Caenorhabditis elegans: one gene and its partners. The protein of the gene in region 1 interacts with the protein of each later gene in a pairwise test. Each region holds a gene or a part of one and is shown in the gene's direction. Other genes may lie near its edges.

Region 1 (5,639 bases):
TCGCAAGAGTTTGTCATACGTTTTTAAAGACGCACGGATTTATTCTGATGGATCTCGGAGCGCAAAAAGTTTGTTGTAGTACTTTTTTAAAATTACAGCTGAATTCTAATTTAATTAAGAATGTGAGTATTTCTTGTTTGTTGGTCTGAAAAAAGAGAAAAGTTAATTTAAAAACAGATAAACTTCGCTAAAAAGGAATTTTATTGAAAAATGTAAGCAAAATTACCATGAAAGCAGTTGCAAAAAAACTACCATAAATTTTTTTGCGCCCCGAGACCCATCTGAACAAATCCGTGTGCCTTTAAAAAAGCATGCCAAAATCTTGTGAAATTACAATATAAAAAATAAAAAAAATCCTGAAAGTTGAACTCCTTCTCTCAAAACAAATATTTACTTGAAGCAATCTAAAAATATGAAAAAGTGAAAAACCGACGGAACGGAACATCAATCTGCCAAGCCTTTGAAAATGTATGGAAAACGAGATTGAAATCCGGATTGGGCGGGAATCATGCCATTCAAAAAGAGCGAAATTGTTCTATAATTGCTGGTTGTGTAGTCAATATATTATCCGAATTGATTTTGAAAAATTCATAAGCAATAAAAAATAACGAAAATGGTTAACAAATAATAACAACATTTGGGTGTAATTTTAAAATATGAAAATGATTAATTTATTTTAGGAGAGCCCGTGGCAGTATCGGTGGATTCTGTGTCTAATTTTCCAATTTCTTCTAGGCTTTCTGGCTTTTCTTCCACAACTTCCTCTTTCAATTGAGCATTCTTCCGTTCTGGAATAATTGAAAGAAGAGCATCTTTCCAGTTTTTGTGAACAGAGTAATGAACCAGAATTTCATAGACTTGATTGATAGTGAGTACCTGAAATCAGAAGAATATTATGGGACAAAAATATGGAAACCGATTACCCGTCGAGATTTCATGAGAAGATGTTCATCTAAAGGCAATTTTGCATGACCAAATCCTTTTTCTTGAGCGATTCGATAGCACAATCCTTTTTGAGAATTATGATCCACAATTCCTCCAATTACATACACTTTCGTATCATCAAGATCGCTCAGGACATTTTCAGATTCAGAAGTCAAATAAACTATTTCCTCTGGTTTAAATAAATTTTCCAATTTTTCTTGGTGAAGATGGATGTCTTGATTCAGGTTGTGCTCATTACCATCATAAATCTCAACAAAACCAATTAAAACACTTGTTGTGCGAAAACAAAATTACTTTTCTCGATGGTCCATCGAACCCCACAACATGAAATTGAAATGGATCAGGACTGTGTCTGTTCGCAGTATAACACCATCCGATTTGCTGAACTGTACGTTTTTGATCCTTTTCAATCATCAAATCGTCAAATGACATGTCCAAAGCAATTCGTTGCTAAAAAGTTGTTTTAGTCTAAGGAAATTGTCAGATTTTACCAGTTGAAAACATTTTTACTGTATGAATGTTCAAAAGTTAATGTTAAACAAATTACTGGAATCGTATATTACCTTGCTATTAGACTGAGCCATTGTTCTGAAATCTTTTCGTTTCCTCAACTTTGAAAGATCTCCCGATTCTTTCAGCGCTGCTCGTTTTTCCTTTTTTCGAATTCTTTCCGCTGCACGTTTGACTAACTTCTTTTCTTCCCATTTCACCTTGTATTTTTGACGTCGCAGTTGCTTTTTCGACATTCCCTCTGGTACTGCTGGAATATTATAATTCAATACATACTGATGCAACGGAAAACTCACGTTGGTCTTGATTTTGATGCTCCACATTATCTTCAAATTTTTCGATTGTTTCCTCCGACATAATTTTCCACTTAAAGATGCCAAAATGATATTTAGAATATATTTTTTAATGTTTTCAAAAAAAAAAATGAGAGAAATCAGTGAAATGCAAACATGCTCCAATGACAAACTAACAAACGACACTCCGATTTCGCGTCAAAAATTTTTTCAATTAAAAAATTTATTTCGTTTTTAGGTTAATTCTTTTATTTACACTCATTGCAAAAATATTATCAAGAATGGAGGAAGAAACAATTAAAGTCGAAAATCTGGATGATTCAATTGTATGTTTTCCTTTTAAATTCCAAAAATATTCCATATTTTAGACTATCGATCGAAATCCTGTGCCACTTGCTTTCTGTGCTCGACCAACACTTCCCGCAAAAATTGGAATGAAGACAGAAGATGGAATCGTCGATCAACTTTTGGATCTTGTTGATCCTATCACCGTTGTGAATCCTACTGAAATTCGCCAGGCTCCATCATTGAAAAGCTTCGGATGCGACACTGAAAGTGAATTTGAGTTTTCTGGAGATGATAGCGATTTCGAAAATATCAACGATTTACGAGCCGGTGCACTTGATTCTGATGAAGAGTTTGACAGGCTAGTAAAGTTTTCCGCAAAGATTATTGAGAAGACACACAAGTCAGAGTACCCGGATGAAAATGGAAAAAAGCAGCGGAAGCCAAAAAAGTCACAAAAAACGGTAAGGTTTCATTATTTTGAAATGTTTTTTCGAATGATTAGATTTCTAGCGTAATGTTCACGAGTATGATGATATGCCACCACTCGAGAATCTCAGTATTGAATGTAAAGGACAATTGCTGGAATTTGGTTTTGTAAGCAAAGTCGTGGATTGTCAAGGTAAATTGTCAAAAATGTCAACCTTATATAAAATGTTAATTGAATTGGTATTTCAGTTGTTATCATTTCAACATGCACAGAAGTTCTCGACTTCGATTCATTTCTTTTCGATCAAAAAGGAAATGCGTTGGGACAAATTTATGACATTTTTGGACAAGTCAAAAATCCACAATACGTTATTCGATTCAATTCTTGTGAAGAGGTGAAGCTTTTAGTAGACAAATAAAATATATAACAGAAGTTTTATAGGCATCGATGATACCCATTGACATGAAAGTATATTATGCTCCTACAGAAGAACAATTTTCCAAAACTCCATTCAAAGGACTTAATCTTGCTGCAGCAAATAGGGATGCTATTAAATCCCTAAATCGTCGCATTGATCATCAAGAAGCTGTTGCAAAAGCTGGTGAAACGATGGCTCAGGTTGGCATCGGTAGTGACGTGGAGTTCAGTGATGATGAAGCGGAGAAAGAATTTAAACGCACCACATGTAAGATATAATTGAAATTTACTTTCAAATTCTAGTAATTTTCAGATACCCAACCAGCTAGTCAAATGTCAAGAGGATTCGATTCGAACAGAGGGCGAAAACGAGATCGCCGCGGAGGACAAAAAGTTAGATTTTCTGCTCAGAATCCACCTGCCAGATCGGATAATCTTGGGCCCATCCCTCAGCAGCCATCTGCGCCACCGCCACCTGCTCGTCCAGCACAATCAACCGAATCAAATCCATATGCCGAATTCGGATGTCATTCTGGATTCAACGGACGTTTTGGAATTTAATTTTTTGTTAAAATATCGTTACACATTGAATACTTTGTTGGATATATTGTAACATTTTTTCGTTGTTATTGTTGCACTTTTGGAATTGACGCGTGAATAAACTTCATTTTTACATTTTAAAATCATAAATTGCTATAATATCAAAATGACGAATAGTCATACTCACAACGGAAACCGAATTTGGTTCATCTGCAGCTGGGAAAATGGTCCAATTTGTTATGGAATGGCTCTGTGAGTTCAAATTCTTCGCAGCTGTGAGCTATGCTCTGGAAATCGTATTTTTTCAGTGATCTTATTGGGGGAATTTCTTTGATTGCTTTCTCAGTTCTTCTCGTCGGAGTCATATTTTTCGGATGGTTTGGAATATTTCCAAAAGTTATTCGAGTAAGCTTCACGAGTAATTCTAATTTTTGTATGTTTTCTTTCAGCGTAAACTTCACGATTGAATTTTATATTTTTATTATAACGTTCAGAAGAAGGCGAGGCTCTATTACTCTATTTTAATAAAATATTTGAATTGACTAAAGTTTAATAAATATTATGCAGTGCTATGAAAAACTTGTGGGTAAAGTGGAATAGAGAAAAAAAGAGAAAAGAAAGGAACGGCAGGAAGAAGCTGGCTGAAAATTAGAATATCTAAAAAAAACAATTAATAAAAAAAGATTAACTGGAAGAAGGAAAGCAGCGGGTGGGTTGGAAAAGTGAAAAAAGGAAAGGCAGTATAATAGGAAAACAAGGATTTTTGAAACATAGAAAACAAGGAAAGCAAAAAAAGAAAACAACTGGAAATAAGGAAAGATTTAAAGCTCAGGCTATAATGAGTATGTAATTGAACTGAACAAATTAAAAAATAAAAACAAAAAAGATTCTCCTGCGATAAGACTAAATTACTTAGCGAAGTTAGGACAGGAGCAAACATCGATCAGGAAAATCAAACTTCAGCGATTCGCAAAATTGATGGATATACATATCGAGAAATTTTAAACAGTTTCCGCTTCTTTTTTGTTCAGAAACTTTGTTCAAGAATGTCTAAATTGCCCCCATATATCTCACAATTCAGCGAATTTCAATATTTGATTAGAAAAAAAGGCGCAGTCAAAAGTACCGTAACCTTTGATCATGAAACATTTTCAAGGAACATACTATGTAGAAAACCTAGTGTTAGGTGATTGAGGGAATGACAATAAATTCGAAGTAATGCTATTAAAAACTAAAAAAAAGAAAAGAATCAAAAACTTGAAATAAGAGACCAGAGAAGTAGAGATTCATACGAGATTTTGACACTTTTAGGTATCGAAAAAATTAATCCATGTCACCAGAGAAACCATCATCATCCAATTCATCATCAATGTGTCCACCATTTTTCACATGATTTAATAATTTTGTATTAACTTCAAAGATTAGTCCTTTGTACCGCTCAGGAGAGCATTTTCCACAAAAACCACCACAGTGACCAATAACTTTTGCATTGTTCTTAAAATAGAATAGATTTTGAACAAATTAAGGTTTTCAAAAACTCACATAAAAACGATCGATTCGAGAGGATGTTCGATGACCTTGATCCTCCCAATTCAGATCGTCAACTAATTTCAGACCAGCAGATTTTAAATCAATTGAGAATATTCCCTGTGGACAATCTTTCATACTGTAGCAATCACCGGCAGTACCATATGGCACATGAACACCATATTCTCGTTTTGCAAATGTATAATCCGCCACTGAAAGTTTCAATTTCTGTATACGGGTATTAAATTGTTGATAAATAATTCAGATTAATCAGATCATATAAATTCAAGTACAGTATAAATTACTTACGATGGAACTTTCTATTCAACAAATCTATTCGAACTTTATTGAATCTCGTCAATCCAGCACTTGCATCGCCGTCTTCTGAACAATGGCATGAATCATTACGATCACCATTAAATGGGCAAGTATGAGGGTATATTAATCTGGAATCGCAATTACAGAAATTTGTAAATCTACTGAAATAAACTAACTTTTTTCCATAAACCTCTGCAAAATTGGTTCTTGGATTAACGTTCAAATAAGCTTTAGGAATGGTTGAATTCATTCGATGACAATAAATTTCAATAGTGAATCCGTCAAGAAGAATAGTGTAATTTCCATCTTTAGCCTTAACATTCTGAGATTTAAGCTCCTGACAAGTTGACGGAAGGCCTGAAAAGTTTACAATA
Region 2 (10,515 bases), on another chromosome or scaffold:
CACCAAATATTCTTTTATCAATGTCACATGAAAAAATTGAAACTATTACTTTTTCGAACATTCTGGCAGCTAAAAAAATATCACAGTAGCTTGACATTAGCATGTCCCCCACCAACTCTCAAGCCAACACCTCTTCAAAAGCATAAAAGTCAATTTTTCCTGAACAACGGTAACCCTACAGTAATTCCCCAATACCCCTACAGTACCTTGACATCATCCCCCACCAACTCCTCAGCTCCCGCCAACATGATATCAAACACGAATCTCTCTCACCACGATGGGTCTGGCAACGAAGGGTCTCACCACGAAAGGTCTCACCACGAAAGGTCTCACCACGAACAACGGGTATCACCACGAAAGGTCTCACCACGAATGGTCTCACGACGAAAGCTCTCACCACTATGGGTCTCACCACGATGGGTCTCGCCACGAAGGGTCTCACCACGAAGGGTCTCACCACGAAAGGCCTCACCACTATGGGTCTCACCACGATGGGTCTCGCCACGAAAGGTCTCACCACGATGGGTCTCACCACGAATGGTCTCACCTAGAATGGTCTCACCACGATGGGTCTCGCCACGAAGGGTCTCACCACGAAAGGTCTCACCACGAAGGGTCTCACCACGAAAGGTCTCACCACTATGGGTCTCGCCACGAAAGGTCTCATCACGATGGGTCTCACCACGAATGGTCTCACCTAGAAAGGTCTCACCACGATGGGTCTCGCCACGAAGGGTCTCACCACGAAAGGTCTCACCACGAAGGGTCTCACCACGAAGGGTCTCACCACGAAAGGTCTCACCACGATGGGTCTCGCCACGAAGGGTCTCACCACGAAGGGTCTCACCACGAAAGGTCTCACCACTATGGGTCTCGCCACGAAAGGTCTCATCACGATGGATCTCACCACGAATGGTCTCACCACGAAGGGTCTCACCACGAAAGGCCTCACCACTATGGGTCTCACCACGATGGGTCTCGCCACGAAGGGTCTCACCACGAAAGGTCTCACCACGACGGGTCTCACCACGATGGGTCTCACCACGAAAGGTGAATTCCACGGGAATTCAATAACCGCCAAATTATTTTCAAAAAATTAGAATTTGAATTCCCGCCAAAATTTTATCTTTTTTTAATTTTTATTTTCAAATTTTTCCTAACTGCCGTAATCCTACAGTACTACTACAGTACCTTGACATTATCATCTACCAACTCCCAACCCAATATCTCTTCAAATGCTTAAAACTCAAATTTTTCCTAACTACAGTAACCCTACCGTAATCCTACAGTACTACTACAGTACCATTACAGTACCTTGACATTATCATCCACCAACTTTCAAGCCAACACCTCTTCAAAAGTTTAAAATTCAATTTTTCTTAAACTACAGTAACCCTACAGTAATCCTACAGTACCCCTACAGTACCACTACAGTACCTTAGCATTATCATCCACCAACTTTCAAGCCAACACCTCTTCAAAAGTTTAAAATTCAATTTTCCTGAAACTACAGGAACCCTACAGTAATCCTACAGTACCCCTACAGTACCACTACAGTACTTTGACATTATCATCCACCAACTTTCAAGCCAACACCTCTTCAAAAGTTTAAAATTCAATTTTCCTTAAACTACAGTAACCCTACAGTAATCCTACAGTACCCCTACAGTACCCCTACAGTACCACTACAGTACTTTGACATTATCATCCACCAACTTTCAAGCCAACACCTCTTCAAAAGTTTAAAATTCAATTTTCCTTAAACTACAGTAACCCTACAGTAATCCTACAGTACCCCTACAGTACCCCTACAGTACCACTACAGTACCTTGACATTACCATCTACCAACTTCCAAGCCAATACCTCTTAAAATGTTTAAAAATCAATTTTTCCTAAACTACAGTAACCCTACAGTAATCCTACAGTACCCCTAAAACACTACAGTACCTTGACATTTTAAATTGATATGACACATTTAAATTAAATTTTGAATTCCCGCCAAAATGGTTTCAAAAAATTAAATTTTGAATTCCCGCCAAAATGTTTTCAAAATTTAAAATTTTGAATTCCCGCCAAAATATTTTCTCAGAAAATTTGAATTCCCGCCAATTTGTGATGACGTCACAAAAGGGGCGGGGCCTATGTGACCCCTCTTGTGTGATTGAGACTACAAACTACAGAGTTCAAAGACCAAAGATCAAAGATCAAACTACATAGGGACAGAACGACACGCGCTTTATATATAGTAAATTGATTATGGCAATAAAATAAAGTTTCTTAATAATTTTTTGGATTGGATTGTAAACAATTTTATTATCTCAAACAAACCAGATTTTTCATGGATTTAACTGGATCCAAGGGTCTCGATGATCTGCTGGTATTGAGCGATCTTTGGGGCGGCATTCTTCTTGGCTTGAACGGTTCATTCTAAGTATCTTATTTTATTCAGCGATTTCGTACACCTGCACCATATGTGGCCATCGAGACGCAGAAGATGACTGAGACTGAAGAGACTGGAGAATTTGATCATGTTACTGTGCGCGTCACTGCTATAGAGCCCAAGAAAATGCTCTCTTTTTTCTAGTACTGAATAGTAGTTTGATTGAAAATCTCCTGACTGGGCAATTTTCGGTTTGTACGGTGGAGCGCGTTTGCGTTCATCTAGATTTTGAAAAATATAAAAGATAAACTAAAAAAAAAGTTTCCCGTGTTCCAATAAAAAACGAAACATTTTAATTTTTGAATTGGCGTGAACTTTTTTCTACCGCCGCTATATTCTGGATTGAGGGGGGAGGGATACGTGGAAAAAAATGTCGGAGTGAAAAAAAATCAATATATTTATTTCAAGGTTTTCGTTTTCCAAAAATGGTGGGAAAGGAAAAGAAGGAATCTACGAGGCTAAAATTAAGGTGAGTGCTTTCAATCGCCTTGCAAGGATCCTTGGAAATGGGAGAATGGCCGTGCGAAACCTCTTCCACGGCGCCAACCATCGGGTACTGTAGACGAGATGTTTCGCTCGTGTCAGGACCCAAGTTTTCATCAACAAATTTACATTTTTTCAGCGCAATAAAAGAGTATCTTGGAAAATATAGAGGTGTAGACGCAGACAATAATGAAGGATACGATGGTCATCAGAAATGGCATGAAAATGATCAAGTTGTACGCAGGACTTTATCAGATTTTACAGGACAAATAGATAAATTTCAGGTTCTGCAAGCCATGGCCTACTTCTATAAGGCTGTGAAAAGCAAATTATACTCTGAAGTACGATCTTTTTTGGGCATTTTGCTTCCACATGGCCCGGACGATGGTCGCCTTTCTTCTCTTCAAAGTCTTCTAATGGATACATCTTCTGAAGAATCTCTTAAAGTTCGTCAACGCCTGAAAGACCGCTAAAGGCCGGCCTAAGCCGGCCCACCTACCGCCTACACCCTAAAGACCCTCTAATGGCCCGATAACGGCCCGCATACGGCAGCCAACGCCTAAAGGCCTAAAGGCCCGGTAAGGCTGGCTATCCACCGACGAAAGCGTACGTCCGCCTACGCATACCTACGCCCGCCTACTTTGCCTATATCCACCTACGAACGCCTGCACCCGCCTACAACGCATACACTCGCCTACATCCGCCTACGTCCGCGTACGCCGGCCTACACCCCTGAAAGACCTCTCAAGACCAGGTAAGGTTTGCTAACGCCCGCCTACACTCGCTTATGACCGCCTACGACCGCCTACTTTGCCTACATCCACCTATGATAGCCTGCACCCGCCTACAACACATACGCTTGCCTACGTCCTGTAACGCCCTTTTGAATTACAGGAAGCTCTTCTATTATCGATTGCCGTCGGAAGTCGTCCACTAGTCGAGTTTGTTCTCGTACTTTTCGTCGATGCACCATACCTTGAAAGAAGTGGTAAGTGTGAGGAAGTTTGTATTAAAGCGCATTTGCATCACACTAATTTCAGGATCTGCTAATTCTCCACATTTTCCACCACATATGACTCCACTGATGCTGGCATGCATTTTGAATAATTTTTCGATTGTTCAGTGTCTTATAACTAGAGGACATTGTATTCAGATACCACATTTCATTACTTGTGAGTTCAAACATCATATTTGACGCGCAAACATTGCAAAAGAGCGAACATGCGTCGGTAGGACCGAATGCACCATATTCTACGCGCAAAAATGGTAAAGTGTTGCAGGTGAATGCAAAACCTGCAAACGGGAAACCGTAACAACCCACTCATCAACTCGCCTCGTCGACGTCATGCGTGCACTGTCCTCTGAAGCCTACCTGTGGCTGGCAACTGATGACGTGTTCGCTGCCACGTGTGCTGTCGCCCGAGACCTTCAACAATTGGCGAGCGATGATCAGCTGGAATACGTGGAAACCTATCGAGACCTCGAGATGAATGTGCAACGGTTTTTGTGCAGAATTTCAGATCAAGCATGGAGAGTCGACGAGTTCAATATGATGGTTGCTAATGTAAGAATTTGTGTTAAATTTTAGATATTGGGAGAATTTAAATTGAATTTCAGAGAAACTACTGCCCGGAAAGAATGACTGAAATCTCATCACCGCGTCTTCAAATGGCTATGGATTCTCAAATGAGACAATTCACGTGCTCCACCAATTCACAGACAACTATTAAGTCTGTCTTCAGATCAGGTAACTGTTTTTGAGGGTGAAGTCCTGAGGCGAGCCGTAGGCGATGATGAGGCGTAATCGTGCCTACCTACCATAGACTTTCTAATGGCCTTATAGCTGACCTCATACACTTTTCAGACTGGTACAACTATGGAATCAAGCCAAAACGAGATGCTTGGCGTTTTCTGCGAGCCTGTATCCTGATGCCATTCCTTGTGATGCTTCATGCATTTATGCCAACAAAGGGTACAACAATGTGCGTTCCACTTGCTCGATTCATTGCTCACATCACAATGTACTTGGTCTTCCTCATCGCCGCAATTCTCCGTCCAACAATCGGTTTCTACTTTGCATGGACTGATAGTAGTAAGTGGATTTTGAATTTTCATAGTTAAAAGCTTAGGTTTAGGTTTAGGTTTAAGCTTAGGCTTAGGGTTAGGCGTAGGCTTAGGCTTAAGGTTTCACCTTAGGCTTCGGCTTAAGATCGGGCTTAAGCTTACAACATTTTTTGTGAAATTGAAATTTTTTCAGTTGAAGTAACTGTACAAGCACTCGAAATCTTCATGTACGCCTATGTGATGGGATTAGCTCTGGAGAAGGGAATTCTATTCTATAGAGTCGGACGAGATGGATTTTTTGCCTTCTGGTGGAGATGGTTCGATGCGGCTTTGATCTTTATTTTCTTGTTTTCACTGATATTTTTTACTGGAAAATGGGGAAAACGAGAAGCTTTCGATCCGAGTTCCGTTGACAGAATGCACTGGGTTCGGCTGAAATCTTTTGAATAATTAATTAGTTGAAATTTTCAGCCATCTTTCGAATTCTCACTTCTCCATGAGATATGTCTTGCGATCGCCTGTGTGCTGAGTATTTTAAAATGTTTTTACTATGCTCAGATGATGAAATCAATCGGTGGATCTGTTGTAAGTGGAGTTTGCGCGTAGAATTCGATGTTTTGACCGCAAAAACAAAAAAAGTCTCTTGAGCTACATAGGCAGACAGCCTGCCCAGATACTTACCTACTGTCTATTGTGTGTGCTTTGGCAGCGGGAAACTGAATATTTTCAAGTCATCGTACCGCTACAGTATCCCTACAATACTACTACAGTGCCCAACACAGTAATCCTAGTAGTCCTACAGTGCCATTACAGCAAGTATACAGTGGTTATACAGTAGTCCTACAGTCCTCCTACACTACTCATTCATATGTCTAATACTAAGTTGTTCCCAAATTAAAATAATCCTACAGTGCTACTACAATAATCTTACAATAGTCCTACAGTAATCCTAAAGTAATCCTACACTCGTTCCACAGTAATATCACAGTAATCCTACAGTACCACTACAGTAGTCCTACAGTAAACTTAATTTTTCCAGATATCTGTCGGAAAATGTGTTGGGAAGACGTACACATACATACTCATCATGGTCGCAATCATCGTTTCGTTTTCTGTTGGATTGAATATTATCGTCGACCCATACTTGAATCGAAGTACCATGAAAATAGGAGATCAGGATTATACAAAGACCACGGATTCTTATGAAACGTCAGTTCTTTTTTTCTATATTTTATCTGAGACAACATATATATTTTCAGAATTGGAACATCCTCTAAAAACCTGTTCTGGTCAATTTTCGGTTACTTGGGACCCTCAACATTCACTACAGTTGTTGGAAACACTGGTCCAAACATGGATCCTGTGAAACATACTTTGAACTCGTCAACTTTCGAAATTCTCGCTGCTGTTTATCACGGAATTCTGATAATTACAGTACTCAATTTGATGACATCGATACTTGTGAAAGGAGCTGATGAGGTGTTGGATAATGAGGAAATGGAGTTCAAATTCACACGAGCAGCTATTTATTCCGAGTTTCTCTCGTGGGAAATGGCGGCTCCGCCACCGCTTAATTTGATTCTTGTAGTTGCTCATTTTGTGCATCGGAATTTGGTACGTTGAATTCGAATTGGAATTTTTCAAAAACCTCTGCTTTCAGCTCAAGAGATACTATGCTTCACCGGCGTGGGGCGAGAAGCCGGCAAATGATGATGTTGAGGATCAGGCAGCAGATGAGCAGTACATGGTGAGTCTGAAGCTTGAGTTGTAGGCAGGCACGCCTACCTACGAACCTGCCTGCTGCCTATTTGTACAATGAGCTGACACATAAAATTTTGTGTATTTTCAGCAACTTCTGATGGTGGTTTTCGCTCGATTCGTTGCTTCCAAGGAGTGCAAGTACAAGTCGATTTGGAGATCCGAATTTCATGTAAGCTTGGCTAGGCGTAGGCAGGCATGCGGTATACTGTAGGTCTGGAAAGAAGTTTACGCGCATTTGCACCAGCCTTTGAAAATTTCGAAACCATTTCATTTACTATATATAAAGCGCTTATTCTGTGTGTCCATAGTTTGTAGTCTATGTAGTCTTTGTAGTCTGTGAAGTTTTGGCTTCTGTGGGGATAGTGAGTTGGGGTTAGTGTAGGGATATAGTCGGGGTACTGTAGTGGTACAATAGTGGTACGGTAGGAATACTGTAGGGTTACGGTAGTTTCAGAAAAGTTAGTTTTCAGCCCCAGAAGTCGGGGGCCGCGCCGGAGGTGCGGTCCACGGCTGGTTTAGGAATAACATTTTTGGGTTTGTTGAGCTTTTCATGCAGGCCTGGGTACTAGAGGGGTGGGCCTTAAAGTCAGGCAGGCACCTCAAACATGCCTGCCTGTGCCTACCTTAAGTTTGGCTGCCTATTTACGTGACTTATACAAGTATGCCTCAAAGTCTACGTGCCCCCCTCAACTCTGCGTACCTGCCTACGTGCCTGCCTACCGCCTATTTCCGATTGTAGTCTGAAAACGTCTACCGACGACCGTATCTAACTCAGTTGGTACTTGTGTAGACATAAGGCAGGCGTAGGCAGGCAGGCATGCATTTCCATATAATTTATGGAATTTTCAGAGAGAGGAAAAACAACCGCCTCGAGTGACATTCCTCACAACCGGAGCCCATTCCTTCCTTATGGACAACACTTTCGAAGGATTCAAAATGAGGTCATCTCGAACCATGGAAGCTGAAGGATACAAGGAATACACCACTGTCCAGTATTATGTGCCTAAGAGTAAGACACCGGGTCCAGCTGCTGCAGCTGATGCAGGAACTAAAGTGGCTCCGAAGGATGACAAACCTCAAAACAACCCGGTTCTAGCTAGAACTGGAATCGATTCTCCAGTTCCATCTTCTAAACAGGTTATGTCTTCGGAATTATCTGCTAGCATTCCGAGAGCTCGCGACGTCACATTCCTCGGTGTCTGAAGCAATCGGAGTTTTTGTTTTAAGCGGAAAATATTAATTATGTATCCATTGTGTTTATTATGACTTCGAACTGAAATAAATCGAGAAATTGGAACTTTTGTGATTTATTTGCTATTCAATTCTGATAGATAAAATACAGCAAAGCACGAGCAGGAGGTAGGCAGGCAGGTGGGCAGGCAGGCGAGCTAACAAGCAGCTTCGATGTGATGGATCGGCAAGCTGGGAGGTAGGTAGGTTTAAGATCAGTAAGAAATAGACAAACAGGCTCAAGATAGGCAGGCGAACAGGTAGGCAGGCCGGCTTCAGATAAGCATATATGCAGCCAGTTGATGTTAGGGATGTCGGCAGACTTGAGATAGGCCCTTCATGTAGGCATGTAGGCAATCATAAGGTATGCATGTACGCAACAATACCCATACATGTTCCTCTAACTATACGTATTCCCCATCATATCATCATCACCCGATTCAAATAGTTCCCATTCCAGTTCCAAATTGCTGTCGTCGATCATCGATGAATCCGCCCTTCCAACTTTTGTTACAGCCTCCTCTTGGCTTCGCAAGTCAATAATTATGATCGTAAACGATTGGAAATGGATTTGAAAGAGAGATAGAAAGGGGAAGAACAGAGAAATCAAAGTGATAATATGATAAGAAAGACAGAGAAAGAATACCCCCTCTCAGCTAAATGAAGGAAGCAATCGAAGAAGAATTATTCGATATGGATCATTTTCCACCGCAGTTTTATTATGTGTTTATGTTCATTTTATGTGCCTACTTTATGCCTACCTGCCGAGCGCCTGCCTACTTTATACCTGCCCTAGTTATGCCTAATGCTAACCTACCTACCGCTTATTGTCTTTGCTTTTGCATGTATATTGTAGCTTGTAGGCACACATGTCTACCTGTTAAAACAATCGTGGCGAGACCCATAAACAAAAGTGCGTGTGCCTGCCATCTGCCCTGATTCAATGAAACTTTCCCACACAAAAAAAAATTTTAAAAATGTTTTCAAAATATGCCCATCTTCCAAACATTCGTCTCCTGACACATGTTCTTCGTGTCTACCAAAATGATTTGATAAACGATTAGTGTCAAGTTCAAAGTGTGGAGGTTAAAGATGAAATCTATTTGCCAATTTGTTGTATAATATCAAAAAAAATAGGAAATTGTGAAACTAGGAACAAAAAAATCTAAAAATTCACTCTTCAAAACTGGAATTTTTTGCTAATTATTATCAAATTCGAATTCTCCGCAATTTTTTACCCTTGAAACATTTTTTCTGAAACACTAGCTCATAATTTGATTTTCGCAGGTAGCCTCAATAGTACGCAAACACCACATCTTACGACAAAATGCACAACTTAGCGGTTTTAGAATCCGATCTATGAAAATCAATGGACAGGGGTAAAAAATAGTGAGGAATTCGGATTTTGTAGTGAAAATCGGCGAAAATCAGAACTTTTTTGACTTTCGTGCAGTACGGTAGCCCCAAAAGTACGCAAATACCATATCTTGCGACAAAATGCACAAGGTTTGTTGATTTTTGATTATCATATAGTTATACATCTCTACTTCCTCTGCTCTAACTTTGTTTGACCAAAAGAGTATTCCCATGAGAACTCTCTCAACAATATTCCCATTGCCCCCCCTTCACTTCGCTACTTTTCCACCCATCTAATCCATGTCCATCAATTGTCGATGACGTGTTCCCATTCTCAGTTTCATCTTTTTTCACCAAAAAAAAAGAGAAGAGAAGAAGAAGAATTCCCAAATGGCATGGAAAATGGGATTTTTGAGTATAGGCGGAGTGGGGAGGGTTTCCCGCTGATGCTGCTGCTAGTTACCACAAAACAGAAATGTTTCCATTTTTGTCTATTTTAGGCAAGGCAGGCACGTCCTTGACTACCTGCCTTTGCGTAGAATCTTAATTTTGGTTATGGTCATGTCCGAGAGGAGCCCAGAAACTTTTGTTTTGTTAAAAAGTAATTTGCAAGTCGAAATTTAAAAAAATAAAAAAAGTATAACATGGTGCATCGACTTTTTGAATATCGTCATAATTGTCCGAGAGGAGTACAAATAGTTTTTCTTTTTCTGAGTAAAAATATAAATTTTTAAAATCTCCAACATGGTGCATCGACTTTTTTACGCGCAATTTTTTCGAAATTGACTCTGATACTTATTGTTTTGATTTTTTCCTTAGTTCCGCGCCTACGTCACGCCTACGCAAACCTACACAATTTTTTGAAACTGTTTTTCGGCGTTTTTGCAGTTAAATTTACAATGATGATCATTTTCCGAGTACTTTACGCACTATGCGTACTTTTCTCAATGTTTTTAACCATGCTCATAAACACTTCCTCGCGCAACCTACAGGCACTGTTCAGGTTTGTAGGCACGGTCGCCTACAAACTTGCCTATCACGAAAGCCCCATCCTACCAAAAAGAGACAATTCTTTCTCTCTCTCTATTTCTTCCACTTTCTCAAATGTTTGGAATGTTGATCTCATTAGTAAGAATAGAACAGAAAACAAAAACAGAGAAGATGATCATGTGAATCTCAC
Region 3 (8,695 bases), 3.2 Mb from region 1:
GTTTGGATTTTTTGAAAAAATTATATGAAAAAGAAATACTGTTTTTTCAGACAAAACTAAAAATTTTCAGAAAAAAAAACTTTGAAAGAAAATTCAAATTTCACGCGCCAAGATCATGAAGCTAAGGAGAATGAATAAGACGGGCAGACTCCGCCCATAAAGTGGTTTGGACCTGGCCCGCCCATTGTGATGTGCCAAAAAAAACAAAATTGAGTGATAAAAGCTATTTTTACGAAATTCTTTTTTGAAAAAAAAAAATTAATTTCGCACCAAAATCTTAGAAACACAGTAAGCGGATCCTTATAGGCTCCGCCCATAAAAAAGATTTGAGCCACAAAATATGAGAGCCAACGCTAGCGTGCCGAACAAACGATCAGAACACATTTAAAAAAATAATTTATATGAGAAAAAACGGCGAAAATTCGTAAAAATAATTGAATTGCCAAGGAGAAACCTATAGTTGTTATGGGCGAAAGGAACAATGAGGAAACAGTTTTTATAAAGAAAAGGGAACTCTGAGACATATGGAGGCGGAGCTCACTTAAGCTCACGAGGTGTTATGCTCCAAGTGACATAGACGTATTTGATTACGTGATTCATAGATATATTTTAGGGAAAAGCTTTAAACAATGAAACAATGCATGTTCGTCATTCAATGTTTACTATGCTCTTTTGGTAATGAACTGGACAAGCGCGACATGCTTGAAATCCCCTGCTCTTTTCAGGTGAAGTAGCATTTGTGGTCAGTTAGATAGGTGATAGTTAAGATTTTATTTTCAAGATTTGACTTGAAAAGATATAACTATGTATAGTTTGAGGGATTAGAGGAGCAGGGTTGTTTTTAGATGTTCTTCTTGGGTAGCTATTGTTTGTCGAAAATAAAATATGAGTCGGTGAAAGGAGTTTTTGACATTTTGACAAAAATAGTTTAAGAAGTAAATTTTTAAACACTCCACGTGGGCTCGACTTTTCTGGCCACATGGCAACCACCTCCTTGCCACCCGGGCCGGATGGAATATATCCAATTTTATAAAAATGAGAATGCCAAATTGTAAAAACTAGGTCTAGGTAAATGGCTATCTGGAGTTTTACAAAACGATTTTTTCTGGAATCAATTTTTTTCTCGTGAAAAAAATCCTGAGATCAAGAAAATATTTATTGTATTCTGAAACAAAAATGTCGGAATTCGCTAAATGTTTTCTGGAAGTTTGAAAATTTTCCTGGATTTGTAAAAAAACTTAAATTCATAGCAAATATGTATGCGATTGTTGAAAACATATTCACAGAACTAAAATCGTTTGTGGAAACTAAAAATTCAGGCAGCCTTAAGGTCTCTACCTACACCTAATTAATCCCGGCGGAGGCGCAAGGAGCGCCTCTTCACTCGCCCTTTTAGCACCTCACCGGCTAAATTGAATGCGATTTTGCACACAAACAATTTCATTAAAACCCATTAACTTTTTTTAAAAATTTCAGTGAAAAATTGTGGCTCATAATTTTGAGTGTCAACCGAAAAAAAAAAAATCAAAGTACGAATTTTATATTTGAATTCTGTCAAATTTCTATAAATTAGGAAATTTGCAAAAACGTTGACTGAAAATTTCAAAAAATTTCAAGAATTATTTGAAACCTTTTACTTGCTATTTGGGCATTTCAGAACTATAGGAGCGGTTTTAAACAGATTCTACATTTAAAGGTGCACCAATAGGAAAATAATTTTCAGAGATAGATTTTCACAGGATAAGAAAACGCATAAAATTGGAAATTTTTGTAGGCATAACAAAAACATGCTAAAATATTCTGTCAAAATTGGGCAATCATCATCATCGTAAAAAACGTATCAAATTAATTATATCGGCGACCACACATACACACGACACAAAATAACCAAAAATTAATCAAAAATTCCTTTTCACTTACTCAGACTTTTCCTATTTATACAAAAAAAATACGCGGATTATTACCACCTCAAAATTCTATTTTTGTGAATTTTGATGATTGAAATTGGTGACGTTGTTATATGTGAACAATGAGGTTGGTTTTGAGAACAGATATACTTGGAATATTTTGGAATAAAAATATGATGAAATTATATATTTTTGAAAGATGGCCACGTATATTTGGGTGAATTCTCAATATCAATATGAAAAACTATTCGACCGTGCAAGAAGTACTAGTGGGAGTTTCTGATAAATAACTCAATATACTAAAATAGCCACCTACAACTGCAACAGAATAAATCTACAGTACCCCTAATGCCTGAAATTCGAAAAAGGTATGATAGGAGAGGCGCAAGAGATACGTGGGAACGAGTGTTTCATCGTAAACCTTAATCAATGTCGGCTGCGTATACCTGCGGGAACCTACTGTGCAGCCGACATTGATTGAGTACCGCGATGAACAAAATAGCAGGATTACTGTAGTGGTTCAGCTGGATTACTATAAGGTTAGTATAGAGTTAATAAAGGGATATGGTTATTGTAGTGCTACTGTAGGCTTACTAACCGGGTACTGTACGGTTACTGTACGGTTATTGTAAGACTACTGTTTAGTTACTGTAGAGTTATTGTAGTGGTACTGTAGGGTTACAAAGCGTTGCTATAAGGTTACTGTGGGCGTATGTATTGTTGGTACATGTAACTTTCATTTAGCTAAGAAAAAAGCAAAAGCCATACTTTCTAAAAACTCACACAGCCTGAAACTTTAGGTCTTGAATTTCAGTCAACTTCTTTCAGAATATAAATTTGTCCACGATTTAATCCATGCCTCCGTTTTACGTGAACATTGAAAAAAAAAACCACTTCCCCATTTTTCTTCCACGTTTACACCGTCTTTCGAAAATTATTTCTCCGTTAAAACTATCAATTATGATACTAGCTGTAATTTTCCTGATTCCATTTTCTCAGGCATCTGGAAACTGTGAGTGTTACCTAATTTCTATTTTAACTAAAGCTATAAGGATTTCAGTTTCATTATCGTCTAGTCCAAAATGCACAGTTTTATCCGATTGCCCAAAAAATTTCGCAGCGTGTATGAATGTCACCGGGCTTAGCGAAAAGAGATGTGTCAAGGATAGTGAGTTTAAGGAATTAGAGAGACAGCGCCCGGCACCTCCCTGGTTAAAAAAACCCAAGAGATGCCGGGGGCAATAAAACTTTATTTTACCTTGTTATCTTCAGCCAAACAAATCTGCATTGGCGGCATGCCGGACACCCCTGTCAAACCTTGTAACCGATCAAGAGATTGTACAGCATCCTTGGAGAGATACAGTGGCTGGTGTGATCTTGAGACCAAATTTTGCTGCAATGGTTTGTAACCCTCTTCGTGTAATTTCAGTTAAAATATAGACATTTCCAGTTGACCCAAAAGCCGCTGATTCGCCGTTTTGTCCTGACAGAATAACTCCATTGTATGGCCAAGAAAAGTGTAAAGACGTCGAAAAGGGAATGGTGTATTCTGGAAGTAGTGATCAACGTGGTGGCCTCTGTTACAAGGGGTATAGCTGCCCACCAAGTAAGTTTAAAAAAAAACTGAATTCTAATTCCACACTAAATTCCAGAAATAACTCGCCCAACCGACCTGACATTCGGAAGTATGACATTTCGAACCAACATGGACTGTTTTTCGACGGAAAAAGTGGATACCAAATACAATTTCATGTTCTGTCACAACGAGACAGGTAATTTGTGGGTGATAGGACAATTGAATTTGAATGGAGAAGAAGTGATGAAGCATTGGAAACAATGCGATTTGAACACTGATTGTGGAGAAGGACTCGTTTGTGTTAAGGAGGATTTGTGTCGGTATAGGTGTTATGAGGATCCGGTCAGTTTTTAAGGGGGTTTTCGACTAGCGGGCCCTGCGGGCCCGCCAGTTGTAGGGGTGTAAGGCGAGTCCCCTTGCCGGGCGTAGGTTCTCGACTTCGCCTCGAACCTGTTAGAGGGTTTGTGAAAATTTCAGTAGGTCAATGGGAGTCTTCTTGTTTTTTGAGTTCGGTTTGACCAAAAACAGATGCACCCGATGAATCAGTTAAAGCTGAGTTTTGATTGATTGAAGTTTGAGGAGGCTTTATATTAGGGGAGACGTACCCATATTTTGTATAAAATTGAGTATTTCTATTCGAATCCCGATTACTCACAAAAAACAAAAAAAAATTGACACTTGGTAGAATTGAACCAACAACCAAAATTTCTGCAGTCATACGCACTAACCACTCGGCCATGCGGGTGACACCTTAAACTGGGATGTAGGGAAGAACATTTTCTGGAGGAAGTCGTCTTTCGATTCCGCTTTCTTCAATTATTACTATTTGGGGAAGACGTTCGAAAACCGTTTATCACTGATAAGTCAGCGGAAAACCTAATTTTTGAAAATTTTATTACAGGATTGTACTCATTATTGAATTCCCGAAAAGGAGACGTATAGTTGAGGGCTATATCTTGTACACAGACAGATGTATAGAAAAAAACAAGTTTTAGCCTGAAAATTAAAAAAAATAATATCTCTTGGCAGAGCATTGCTAACGCGACGAAACTTCATCTTCCATTAAATAAAATCAAAAACTATGAATTAAAAATACATTCCGCGAAACTTTAGTGGAAAAAATGTTCAGGGGACCCAGGAAACCACTCCTCCCAGTACAAAATTTTTGAATTATTTTTTTCTTGAAAAATTTTCCCACTGAACTTTTTACAAATTTTATATGTCTCGATGCGTCTTGATGAGACCTACACGTCATTTTTTAGAAAACTAAGAAAACTTGAAAACTGACCGAGTTATGATTGAAAAAGTAGATTCGCAAAGATGGGAAAGTGTGCAAAATTTGGCACTTATTCGTCTTGCTCGGCCGACTCATAGAACTTTTTCCAATTCTGAGTTAAAAATCGTGTTCAGCGTACTTTTTTACGTGGTGTAAAAAAAAAAATATCAAAAAAGATGAAGTAGAACTTGAGATAAAGACGAAAAACTACTTTTTCGGAAAAAAAAATTTTTTTGGCAAAATGTCATTTTTTGGCCTTTTGTTTTATCACAACTTTTTTTCTTTTGCACTTATGAACTCAAACTTTTTTTCAAAAAATCAGTCTCTCTGAGTAGTATCTTGCACAGAAATTTGGAACAAAACCGAGCAAAACCCGAATTTTAATTCAATTAAAACATGCTTTTTTGGGGGTAAAAAGAGCAACAAAAAATTTTTTCAAACTGGGGAAAGCCGCCCTGGGCTCAATTTTGCTCCGAACTTAGTGTCGTTTTCTGCTCCACCGTGGGGCAAAATATTTCTAGTAGGATTTCAAATATTAGAGCATGAAGTCACACGGTTCAGGAGTTGTGAATGAAAACGTGTGTGACATTTTTTCGCAAGCCAAAAAAAAACGCGAAAAAACGCGAAAAAGGGGCGGAGTCTGTACACTCGGCATTTATTAGAGGCTGCTTGGCAGATTAATTTTCATTGAAAAGACGAAATTTGGGGTTCAATTATATTCCTTCAAAAATTACAAATATGAACATTCAGATTAAAAAAAAAAACAGAAAAGCCAAGATGTGTCTATTTTTCGGTTTTCTTTTCTTAAAATCGAAGAAAAAATATTTGTTTTCCAAAATGTTTTTTTACTTTCGGGTTCATGTCGTTTTTCAATACCTTCCTGAAAAACAAGAAGCCTAGTTTTTTCTGGTTTTTTCCTGTTTTTCGAAAAAAATTTCCGACTCGATCTAAAAACATTAAAATAATATACTTTTTAACGGTTTTTTGCAATCAATTTTTTTGTTGAACATTTTAATCTTTTTTCAAAAACTACAAGCCATGCAATAACCCTGTAGTGATACTCTTGTAATTCTACAGTAATCATACAGTAACCCTGAAGTAATCATACAGTAGTCATACAGAAACATATTTCCGTATCTACAGTAGCTCTACAGCAACCCTACAGTTCCTCTATAATACCGCAACAGTTAGTCAAAAAGCCCAAAATGTAAAAAATAAAATAAAACTCCCACCTTTTAATTTTCAAAATTTTCTTTCCATATTGCAAACTTCACTTCAAGAAAGTGTACTTGAAAATGTCTAAAATTAGCAGGCCAATGTTTTATCTAAAAGCTCAAAAATCCTTTTTTTTTTCAGACGATGGTCATGAATTACGACTGGGTGGTGGCTCAACTCAGTGCGATGTTCCTGCTCCCGCTAATTTTTCTGATCAGCATTATTTTTTTTACAGTCAAGTACTTGGATTAAAATAGTTTTCAATATAAACATACGTTTTTTATACATCTAAACAAGTTAACAAATTAAAAGAAATCCGGGGAAAATAAGGCTGAAAATGACTAGACTTTTTAATGCGATATTCGTTACCTGAAAATTCTGAAACCGGGCTTAGGGACTGGGGGGAGAACACAGAAATCAAATTGCTAGGCTTTGACAATAGCTGATGGAGGGATCGGAGGAGGAATAGGTGGAATTATGATGGATATTGATTCGACATAATCTGAGACTATGGTTTTTGGAAAGTTGATATGTAAGGCGAGAAGGTGATGAGAGTAGGCACGGATTCCGAGGACTTCAAGGTGATCGAGAGAGGTGAGACACGAGAGAAGACATAGAAGACCGCGTTTTTGAACCTGGAAATTATTGGGATGAGAAATAACGTTTTGGTCCAATTTAACTTTTAAAGTTGGTGGAGGACAGGGCTGTGCGGCGATTGTTTTCGGCAAACGCACAAACCGGCTTATTTCAATATGATAATCCAACTTTTTTTATCCAAAACTTATACAGAAATGTAAAAAAAGGTTCGTTCCTTATTAAAATGACAATAATTTTTGCTGAAAAACTTCATAAAGGCTCTTGTGGTTTGCAAAATTCTGCTATCAGAGCAATTATGTTTTTGAGCTATTCTAGTTTAGGAGCTCATATTAGGTAGGAGCATCGAGTACAGTGACGGCTTTTGATGATTCGAAAGAAACTGATAAAGTTTCTTACTGCAGTTTGCAAACTTCTGCTATTAGAGCTCTTCTCTTTTTAAAGGTATATTAAGTGAACAATATGTCATTAAATTCAGAACTTTACGAAACACGGAAAAAGTTTGCATATTGCCATTTTTGTTTTCACAGTTGCATTTTGTTTGTGTTTCAAAAACCATTAATAATTACTCACCCTTCTGCAAAAGTTAATATTCAAATATGTGAGTTTCGAGCATCTTGAAATTTGCAAGCAAACCGAATCATCGACGTTTACAATTCCAGGTAAGGAAAGTTGCTTCAAATTGTTGAGGTTTCCCAAAGTGATCAACGAATTCACAGTGAGATATTCACAACAGTCAAGCGATAATTCTTCCAACTTTGAGCAATTCTTGATGATCAATTGTAGTGAATCGTCTCGAACTCCTTCTTTGTTGTTCTTCAGGGATAGATGTCTGAAAATAGATTATTTGATTCTCGAGAGGGTACGTGCGTGCCTATTCTATGCCTGCCTGCCTACGTGCCTGCCTACAATATGTATACTGCTCTTAAGCTGACTAATAGTAAGATTATTGAAAAATCACAAAAATGGAAACATTAGTTTAGTTTACGCGATAAGCCTAAATTTTTTTTAACAGCAGATTTACGAATCTTCCTTGATCTGTTACGGTATCTATTTCAGCTGAAGCTTTTCAGTTTTCCCATGTATAAGAGCACAAGTTTGACTGATAACATTTTCAAAACTTAAAATCTTACCTCAAATTGACAAGTTCTGCAATCTGCCTACAATCCAGTAGATTAACTGAACGCGAAAGATCCAAATGAGTAATTGTGTCGGCCATGGCAACAATATGTTCGAGATCACAAGGAGAGATAAACGATCGTTGCAGGTTTAGGGTTTTCAGTCTGGAAAGTGTGAGGTTTGTTGAATTTCGGTTCGAAAAGAATTGTAGGTAGGTAAAATACGGATTGCCTGCCTACCTGAAAAGCGAAAGGCGGTCAGCGGTCGATTTGAAAGGCTATTTCTGTCTGCCTACGCTCATGCCTACTCGCCTACCTGTCTATGTGCCTGCTATCTATTTTCTGCGAAGACGGATAGGCACATGGTATGCATAGGCGTAGTTTTAAAACAAATCAAAATACCGTTTGTCTTTCAAAAACGCCAAGCTATTGATGGTAAGAGAGTGTCCCACTGCAATTGCCAAATGCTCAACAGTATTTGAGATGAACTGTAAGATTTTTGGATCCACGTGGAAATGACTGTTCATGAGACATTGTCCCTGGAGAAATTAACGTTTTCATTGCATACTTGGTTCCTCTCAGACTTACAGAAATCTCGAAATATCTCAATTTTCGGCACTTTTTCAACAAAGTGCCAAATGATTTTCTGATGATTGTGGCGACGTCCCATTCAGAACATTCGATCATTGAATTTGTGATGCTTATTTCTTCAATACTGTCTGGTAAGTCTCCAAAACTTCCAATGGCGCCTGGTGATATTCGACAACTGAAAATTTGAAATTTGAAAAACAGTAGCTATTTGGGAATTTTAAAATTGTTTTGAAAAAAGGTTTTTTCGCGGTTTTATTTTGATTCAAAAAGTTGACCAATCAGCGGCGTTGGTCAATTGGCAAAAATTTTAATTATAGGCTAAAAATCCATACCGATCAATATGAAGTTTTCTTAATTTCGTAGCATTTTCATTGATCGATGTCATAACATTTCTTCGAATTTTGACGTCACTTGGAAT

What was found. The genes of interacting proteins can lie anywhere in the genome.
Region 2: the proteins of spe-29 (region 1) and spe-41 interact in a two-hybrid assay, tested with the Caenorhabditis elegans proteins (one study listed by BioGRID).
Region 3: the proteins of spe-29 (region 1) and spe-43 interact in a two-hybrid assay, tested with the Caenorhabditis elegans proteins (one study listed by BioGRID).

The regions. Positions count from the first base shown.
Region 1 is NC_003282.8:9,930,324-9,935,962, forward strand, and holds spe-29 (uncharacterized protein), read left to right. Parts: upstream 1-3,556; 5' UTR 3,557-3,586; coding exon 3,587-3,672; intron 3,673-3,728; coding exon 3,729-3,825; intron 3,826-3,869; coding exon 3,870-3,887; 3' UTR 3,888-3,999; downstream 4,000-5,639. Other genes in the region: trmt-10A (tRNA (guanine(9)-N(1))-methyltransferase), read right to left, coding at 667-876, 924-1,193, 1,240-1,395, 1,509-1,705, 1,752-1,812; F25H8.2 (H/ACA ribonucleoprotein complex non-core subunit NAF1), read left to right, coding at 2,030-2,074, 2,117-2,497, 2,547-2,655, 2,712-2,857, 2,905-3,148, 3,194-3,441; gon-1 (Peptidase M12B domain-containing protein), read right to left, coding at 4,744-4,914, 4,963-5,159, 5,257-5,393, 5,442-5,622.
Region 2 is NC_003281.10:3,436,542-3,447,056, reverse strand, and holds spe-41 (Transient receptor ion channel domain-containing protein), read left to right. Parts: upstream 1-2,849; 5' UTR 2,850-2,866; coding exon 2,867-2,910; intron 2,911-3,063; coding exon 3,064-3,160; exon of another isoform or gene 3,161-3,208; coding exon 3,209-3,370; intron 3,371-3,818; coding exon 3,819-3,912; intron 3,913-3,964; coding exon 3,965-4,096; intron 4,097-4,204; coding exon 4,205-4,488; intron 4,489-4,541; coding exon 4,542-4,671; intron 4,672-4,788; coding exon 4,789-5,016; intron 5,017-5,181; coding exon 5,182-5,414; intron 5,415-5,459; coding exon 5,460-5,573; intron 5,574-6,027; coding exon 6,028-6,197; intron 6,198-6,247; coding exon 6,248-6,602; intron 6,603-6,648; coding exon 6,649-6,735; intron 6,736-6,837; coding exon 6,838-6,918; intron 6,919-7,598; coding exon 7,599-7,952; 3' UTR 7,953-8,046; downstream 8,047-10,515.
Region 3 is NC_003282.8:13,136,527-13,145,221, reverse strand, and holds spe-43 (uncharacterized protein), read left to right. Parts: upstream 1-2,867; coding exon 2,868-2,919; intron 2,920-2,967; coding exon 2,968-3,075; intron 3,076-3,179; coding exon 3,180-3,308; intron 3,309-3,357; coding exon 3,358-3,513; intron 3,514-3,559; coding exon 3,560-3,825; intron 3,826-6,115; coding exon 6,116-6,226; downstream 6,227-8,695. Other genes in the region: B0564.9 (F-box domain-containing protein), read right to left, coding at 6,400-6,609, 7,142-7,400, 7,702-7,851, 8,089-8,225, 8,275-8,452, 8,610-8,695.